Sus scrofa: one gene and its partner. The protein of the gene in region 1 interacts with the protein of each later gene in a biochemical or structural test. Links are inferred from orthologs where the notes say so. Each region holds a gene or a part of one and is shown on either strand. Other genes may lie near its edges.

Region 1 (3,563 bases):
TCCCACCTTGCACAGGGCCCAGGAGGCCAGCTGAGGCTGCGGCGGGGGGGGGGTGCCTTGGCTCCGGGAAAGTGGGGGTGAGCCAGGTCTCACCAATGGTGAACATGACAGTGTCCGCCAGCTGCACGTTGCTGATGCTGATCCGTGGGATGAGGCCAATGAGCCCGGGCACCACATCGGAGTAGTTGACATCGATGGTCTCGGCGATGGACTGGAAGCCGTAGAGCAGGGCCTCCGTGTGCTGGAGAAAGAGGGCGCACTGGCTCGGCTGAGGAGGAGGGAGTGACGGGTCTGGGAGGGCTGAGGGGCTCAGGCTTGGGACGTACCTGCCAGGAGTAGGGCTCCTCTGAGCTGGTGAGCAGACGGCCCAGCTTGTCATAGAGGCTGCTGAGGAGCTCGGCCCCCAGCATCTCGTAGACGTACATCAGCGTGTCTGAGATGTCCACCCTGAGCAGCAGACGAAGGCCTTACACACCGCCCGGATGCTGCCCCCAGGGCCCCTGCCACCCTGCCACAGCGCCGAGACGATAAGGAGAGGAGTTCTCGGATTCGGGAGGCCTGGCCTTGGGCCTCTCCCCTCACTGCCTTTATCAGGCCAGGACTCCCTTTAGAGGCGGGACCGGCCTACCACCATCACCTGTAAATCCGGAACTGCTCCTTCTCATCTGAGGACCAGAACCCGTACTCTTCATCAGAAGGGAACTGGGCCTTGTGCAGAAGCACATCCACCAGCTGGAAGTAGACCGGCCGGTACACCTGCTGGTACACAGCCTGCTTCTCCGCCTCGAAGGACAGAATGTCATCCTGAGAGGGAGGGGGCGCGTCAGCCCGGCCCCGCCGCCCCCCGCCCACCCGCCCGGCCCTCCGGAGGCTCCCACGACGCACCTGCAGCGTGTACCAGAAAGTGAGCGTCAGGGAGCTGGTGGTCTCGTTGACGGGGAAGTGGCCGGGGATGCCCGTGCAGAACATGATCATGTTGACCAGGGCCAGGAAGCTCTGCCAGTGCTCCACCTGGTCCAGCAGGGCCCTGGGGGACGGGCACACGGGGAGGTCGCGCCAGCCCCCCCACCCAGGGGCCCTGCTGCCCTGCCCCAGCGGCCCCTCTCCTCACCGGGAGTGGTTCTCGCCCAGGGCCACGGCAATGCGACAGATGCCGTGGGAGGTCTCCATGTCCCCATTCTGCACGGCCTGTCGCAGTTGATCCTGCAGTCCCAGCACCAGCGGGATGAGTTTCAGGAGTGTGTTCACGTACCTGGGGGCATGAGATGAGGAGACCCAGCCCCACCAGCTTGGAGAGAATGGCACAACTGTCTTCTTTTTTTTTTCCCTTAGGGCCACGCCTGAGGCATATGGAAGTTTCCAGGCTCGGGGCTGAATTGGAACTGCAGCTGCTGGCCTACACCACAGCCACAGCAATGCCAGCTCCAAGCCCTGCACCACAGCTCATGGCCACGCTGGATGCTTAACCCACTGAGCGGGGCCAGGGAATGAGCCCACAGCCTCATGGATACTAGTTGGGTTTACTACCACGGAACCACAACGGGAACTCCAAACGGCACAATCTTCCAGCAAAGCCCCCCGTCCCACATCAAATCCAAAGCAAAAAAGAGGTCAGGGCCTACACGGCAGGCGTGATGCTGCCCAGTTTGGGAGGAACCTTAGGTCAGAGACTTCCGGGAGACCTCCGGGAAGACGTATGAGAAGGTCAGGGTTATGGGTTGACTTGTGTCCTTCCACTGGACTCAGTGTTGATGCGGAGATGGGTCAGGACTGTTGGGGGTGGGGGTGAGATAAGGGCAATGTGCTTCGCACACGGGAAGGACATTACTTCGGAGGCCGGAGGGCAGACCGTTAGGGATTGAACTGTGTCCCTCCCAAAAAGTTGCGTTGAAGTCCTAACCTCCCTATCTCAGAGTGTAATTGATGAGGAAAGAGTCACTGCAGATGAGGTCAGAGCCTGATGGGACACAACCCGTATTCTCAACAGGAGCATTCATGTGAAGACAGAGACCAACAGGAAGAATGCCACGCGACGACAAAGGGAGAGGCTGGCATTAGGCAGCCAAAGATTGCCAGCAAGCAAGCAGGAGCCAGGAGACAGCGAGGAAGGAGTCTCCTACCGGTTCCACAGAAAGCTGACCCCTGCTATCAGACCCCAAGCCCCACAACCGTGAGACAGTATACTTCGGTGGTGGGTGCCAGCGTGTGGCACTTTATTCTGGCAGCTCTAGGAAACTAACACAGTCAGGGTTGGGGGAGACTGAGCAAGCATGGGAGACAGAAGAGGCAACGCCGGCTGCGGAGTCCTGTTAGAGCCTCTGGAGCAGCAACCGCCACCTTGCACTCCACCTCCTACCACCGCGTCCCAGCTCCTGAGGGGGCTCTGGTGGCAGAAAGGAGAGAAGCAGGTGACTGACTCACAAGGCGCTGGGAGGCAAAACAGACAGGCCTTGAGGACTGACTGGATGATGAGGATGGGCAGAGCCAAGGACAATTCTCAGGTTACTGGCTAGACAGCTAAGTAGCTGGGGGAGGTGCTGGCCGAGACCTGGAGGGGTGGGTAGAGGGGACAGTCACAAAGTTAACGGGAGGCCAGAAGGTGACAAATTCAGGGTCAGCCGTGTTGAATCAGAGGTACCTGGTGAGAGAGGCAGGTAGACATGTCCAGAAAGCTGGATATAAAACCCTGAAGCCCGGTGGAGAGGTGAGAGCAAGAGAGAGAGATTTTGGAGTCATCAGCAAACAGCTCTGGGCATAGAGGAGAACTGCCCATGAGGAAAGGGTTGAATGAGAGAAAAGACGAGATCCCTGAGGTACAATGACTCCTAAAGCAGGAGCAGAGGAAGCCAAGGATACAAAGAAGACTGTGAGAAGGCTGCCTCCCTCCCACTGGACCCCTCCCCAGCAGCCTGATCTGTGGCGGTGAGACCAAGCAGAGGAAGTGATATTCTTAGCGGGGAGCGAAGGCTTGGGACAACTCTGCTGTCAGTCACAGCAGCACCATAGCAATCTATGCAGAGAGGCGGGTGCTGAGGGTCCAGCAGGAGCTCTACCTGGACTTGCCCCAAGCGGCTGCCAGGCAGGTGGCCTCATAACGTTAGGTGGCGGATAAGTGGAACAGGAGGCAACCCGTCTGGGATGCTGGACGTCTCCACATCCCCATTCCAGTGGGACAAGGCTTCTACACCAGGATGCCCCCCAGCCCAGAGACAGCTCCAGAGGGTGCGGCCTGGAGTCAGCTGGGATAGCTTCAGTCTCATGGCCCTGACACAGGCTGCACCACAAGACAATAGGCACCTTCAGGCCAGACTCTGGCACAAAGAGGAGGGGCAGGGCCAAGGCCATGGCCTGCAAGCTCCCCAGTAGCTGAGATGGGGCAGGAGGTCGTGCCCTACCCCCACAGCATCCCCACTGTAGTCCAAGCCTCCCTTGCATCTTCGAAATTAATGTATACAGTAGGTACTCAACAACCGTTCCACTTTGTCCCATCTGAGCCTCATCATAGGATAAATCAAGGGCAATATACCCCAGTAGAGCTCAGACTATTACTCAAGGTCACAGAG
Region 2 (4,064 bases), about 8.4 Mb from region 1:
AAAATTTTCCTTGTTTGTATCCACCCCAGCACCCCTCAAGGACCACATTTGACTGTATTTGATGTAACAGGCATGTTAGAATGTGGGGTCCCCCTAACCATTTCTGCTTTTTGTCTTGTCCTTCCAAGTTCCGTTAGCTTCTGTACTCGGTCCCCTTTGGAGTCTGGTTTCTCTTCCAGAGGCAAAGGGTGATGTGCTGCATCTCACTAGTTGACTTACATCATCTTGATGAACTAAAAACCAAATGTGGACGTTTGTAAAATAAATGCACTCTTTCTAGAGATTAAATTCATTTTTTAAAATCTGGAAGTACTGTTTCATTGTGATGCTTCAATGAGGGGGGTGTGGAGGATCAATATTATTGTTTGAATTTTAGAGATGAGGAAACGGGTGAAGGAACTGCCCAAAGTTGACACTTATGTTTTAGTGCCCCCCAAAGTACGTGTCGCACATGCAGTGCTCATGCGCATGTGGCGTTCTCTGCCTACATTTTCCTTCTCTGCCTCCTCTGGCTAATTCCTATTTGTCCTTGAGTATTCCACTTCCGAAGCCTTCTCTATTCTCCCTGACTCAGACCTGACTCATAAGATATGGTAACCATCTGTGTTTCCACAACAAATTTCGCCTACCTGTATCCCAGTATTTCCACTCTGCCTCTCACTCCCATGCCAGTGAGGCTGCTTTTACCAAGGTCACCCAGGACCTTCTTAATTATAAACCTTGCAGATATTTTCAGTCCTTATATTCCTTGACCTGGAAGCAGTATGTAACACTGTTGGCATTCCGTTCTTGAAATACTCTTATTTTGGCTTACAGGATGCTATACACCTGGTTTCCCCCCTACCGCTCTAGCTACGTCTTGTTCTCTTTTGCCTATGAATTTCATACTTCTGATCTTCTCATTTTCCAATCCAGTCTACAATATTGAAGCCAGAGTTGTTTTTCTAGAATGCTATATAGGTCATTTCACCACCACCCTTTGGATGACTGGGGAATGGGCGATTAAATAGTTAACTCCTACTCAAAGCATCTCTTCTAAAGACCAGAGAGGTAGAAAAGCAAAGGAAGAAATAAAAGCTTGAAAGAGATAAGTGCAGGCGAGTTTGTTACAGGGAAATGGCAAGCTCCACTGTGGATTCAGGGAAAGCGTCACGGAGAAAGGTTTCTTGAACTGGTCCTTAAACAGCAGGGTTCAGTTGAGCCAACGTTAGACACATGCAGCGTAGTGCGGGGCGTTCTATGAGTTTTGGGTCCTATAACCCTATTTTACTGTTGGCCCAGAGAGAGTAAAGGGCTTTGTCCCACTCACACAGACAGGTGTCCTGAAGGAAGGTGGAGGTTCAGAGGACGCAGGACTTGGAGTGTAAGCCCTTGGTCTTAAAACGCGGACTCCAGACCACGTTCGTCCTCCTACCAAGCTCTAGAACCCCTTGGACCGCAGGCCCAGAAGGACGCAGGCTTACAAACCTCAACCTCCCTCCCTCCCCGGCTGAGGGGGCGGGGCTACACCAATCCCGCCTCCGTGGGGAAGGGCTTCGTTCCGCCAGGAGGGGCGGAGCCTACTTGGCCCGCGGGTCGGGAGGGGTCGCTCTACGCCCGGAGGCGGAGTTGTCTGGCGTCACTTCCGCGCGCCGTTGTCTACGTCAGTGTCGGGCGCCTACGGCAGAGGTGCGGTTTGCTCTTAAAGTTCGGTCTCGGATACCTTTTGCGAGCCATGGAAAGTGACTTCTATCTGCGTTACTACGTGGGTCACAAGGGCAAATTCGGCCACGAATTCCTGGAGTTTGAGTTTCGACCCGACGGTGAGAAAAGCGTCCGGCCTGACGGGAGCGAGGTGTAGGCCTGGGGACGGGCGAGTGGGAGGAGTGTGCGAGGAACTGGAGGAGGAAGAGACTGATGGCTGTGAGGCGCCGATTTGGAAGGAACGATACTGTGTCTTCCCCACTGGTTCTTTTCGTGTTCAGAATCTTCTGTTTAGTGACATTTCTGACCACAATGATTCATTCAGTAAACGTTCCTTGAGCGCCTACCTTGTGCCAGGCTCTGTTCCACCATCTGGGATACAAGAGTGAACACTTCCCGTCTCATGGAACTTAGATTCCCGTGCTGGGAGATCTGTAAACAACAAACAAACAAAAAGCAACAAAAAAAGAAGATTCCAGATAGTGATGAGTGGTCAGAAAACAAAGTGATGGTATAATTGCTGGTGGACTGCATTTAGAAAGGGTGGCCATAGGCGAACTCTCTGAAGAGCAGATATATGAACTGAGTTCTGATTGACAAGAAGGAGCCAGCCTTGTGACTCTCAGGTAGAAGAGCATTCTAGGCAGAGGGAGAAACAAGTATCAAGGCCATAAGGCAGGGATGAACTAAACATGTTTCAGGTGGCCAGTGTGGCTGAAGAGTAGTGAGCTCTGGAGAGAATAGTAAGTAGCCTGATAAACAGGCAAGGGTCACACCATATAGTCTTTATAGGGTGTGGTAGAGTTGGGATTTTTGTTCTAAGTGCAGCAGGAAGCAATTTGAAAGTTTTAAGCAGAGGAGAGATGTAATATGTTCTTGAAAAAGTTTTGTAGTTATTAGGTGCAGAATGGGTAAGAATGAAAACTACTTAATAGGAGGCAGAATTGTTAAGACGGAAGGGATGTTGGTTGGGACTAGAGTGATAGTGATGGCATACTGTTGATGGCACAACCAGTAGGACTTTGCCAAGTGATAGATTTGGGGAGGCGCCAGTACAGTGAAAGAAAAGGAATCAAAGATGACAGAAAATTTATCCTAAATGGGGGCACAAAAATGAACTGACACGCCCCGGTTGTGAAGGAAATAGGTTTGTTAGCAAACAAAGACAAGACAGTGTAGTGGCTACTGGGGTAGAAAGACACAGAAAGGACCCTTGGAGCAGAAGGAAGGCACCTAACCCAGCCTGGAGGTCAGAGAAGACTTCTTGAATAAGATGACATGGGGAAGTGGAGGTTTGAGCCTTTAGTAATGTGAAGGAGTTAGGCAGAGAGTCAAGAAGGCATTTTCAGAAAGCATTAACAGCGAAGAGACCGAAACCCAAAAAGTGAATGGGGTGTTTCAGGCAGAAACCAAACACATTTGACCCTTGAACAACATGGGTTTGATTGCATGGGTCCACTTAATTTTTTTCAGTAGGAAAGACCTACATGATCCACAGTTGGTTGAGTCCAAGATGAGGAACCGTGGATACAGAGGAACTGCAGATGCAGAGGGCTGGCTCTGAGTTATACCAGTGTTCAACTACAGAGAGGCTGGGTGCCCTATGCCCAAGGTTGTTTATGGGTCAGCTGTAATTTGATTAACTCCAGCTATGTGCAAGAGGACTTTTGGAGGAGTGGCCCTGGAAGTGGGCTCAGCGTAGCAGTAACCCATGTTGAGGAATTTGGGTTTTATCAAGACGGCAGTGGGAAGTCATTGTTGGTATCAAAGTGTTAGAGTAACCTAATCAGATCTGTTAACTATCACTTTGTCCACTGTATGGAGAATGAATTGAAAGGAGAGGAACTTGAGGCAGAGAGACGGTACAGTGAGGCGTCAATTAGTGTGGCTCTTTTTAGTGTGCCTTCTGTTCTGTAGGGAAAAAATTATCTCCTTTATTTCCTTTTATCTTCTTCATATCCACCATATATACTCAGGTGAACCTGTTGGATGCACATATGACTTTTTATACCAAATATGCATAATAATATCACAGGAATAGATTATAGAGTGTTGCACAGTCACTTGTTTATATACGTAAAAAGCATTTTAACAGTTTTCAGAATGCTTTCACAACTCTTGAGCCTCAGGGGGCCCTGTCTGTAGGTAAGTTATCGGTTACTCCTGTTTTTCAGCTGAGGGCATTAATCTGCAGAGATGTGATTTGCCTGTCACAAAAGAGTCTGTTCTTTAATCACAACTGAGCTGCCTTTGGCAAGAATTATAATTCATTATCAGCTGTATTTTTTGCTGGGAGGCTATTTAATAGTGTTGATGGAAAAAAAAAAAAACTCAAAAGTTGAGAGTTATGTTTTATTTGACAGACATACTGAGGACTTAAG

Evidence for each region. The genes of interacting proteins can lie anywhere in the genome.
Region 2: the proteins of IPO13 (region 1) and MAGOH form a complex in vitro, tested with the Homo sapiens proteins (2 studies listed by BioGRID and IntAct). The link is inferred for Sus scrofa from reciprocal best matches to the Homo sapiens genes IPO13 and MAGOH.

What each region holds. Positions count from the first base shown.
Region 1 is NC_010448.4:167,337,796-167,341,358, forward strand, and holds part of IPO13 (importin-13), read right to left. Parts: intron 1,253-3,563; coding exon 1,112-1,252; intron 1,028-1,111; coding exon 886-1,027; intron 805-885; coding exon 638-804; intron 448-637; coding exon 327-447; intron 242-326; coding exon 94-241; intron 1-93. UniProt on the Homo sapiens protein: Functions in nuclear protein import as nuclear transport receptor. Serves as receptor for nuclear localization signals (NLS) in cargo substrates.
Region 2 is NC_010448.4:158,986,955-158,991,018, forward strand, and holds the start of MAGOH (protein mago nashi homolog), read left to right. Parts: upstream 1-1,217; 5' UTR 1,218-1,714; coding exon 1,715-1,802; intron 1,803-4,064. UniProt on the Homo sapiens protein: Required for pre-mRNA splicing as component of the spliceosome. Plays a redundant role with MAGOHB as core component of the exon junction complex (EJC) and in the nonsense-mediated decay (NMD) pathway.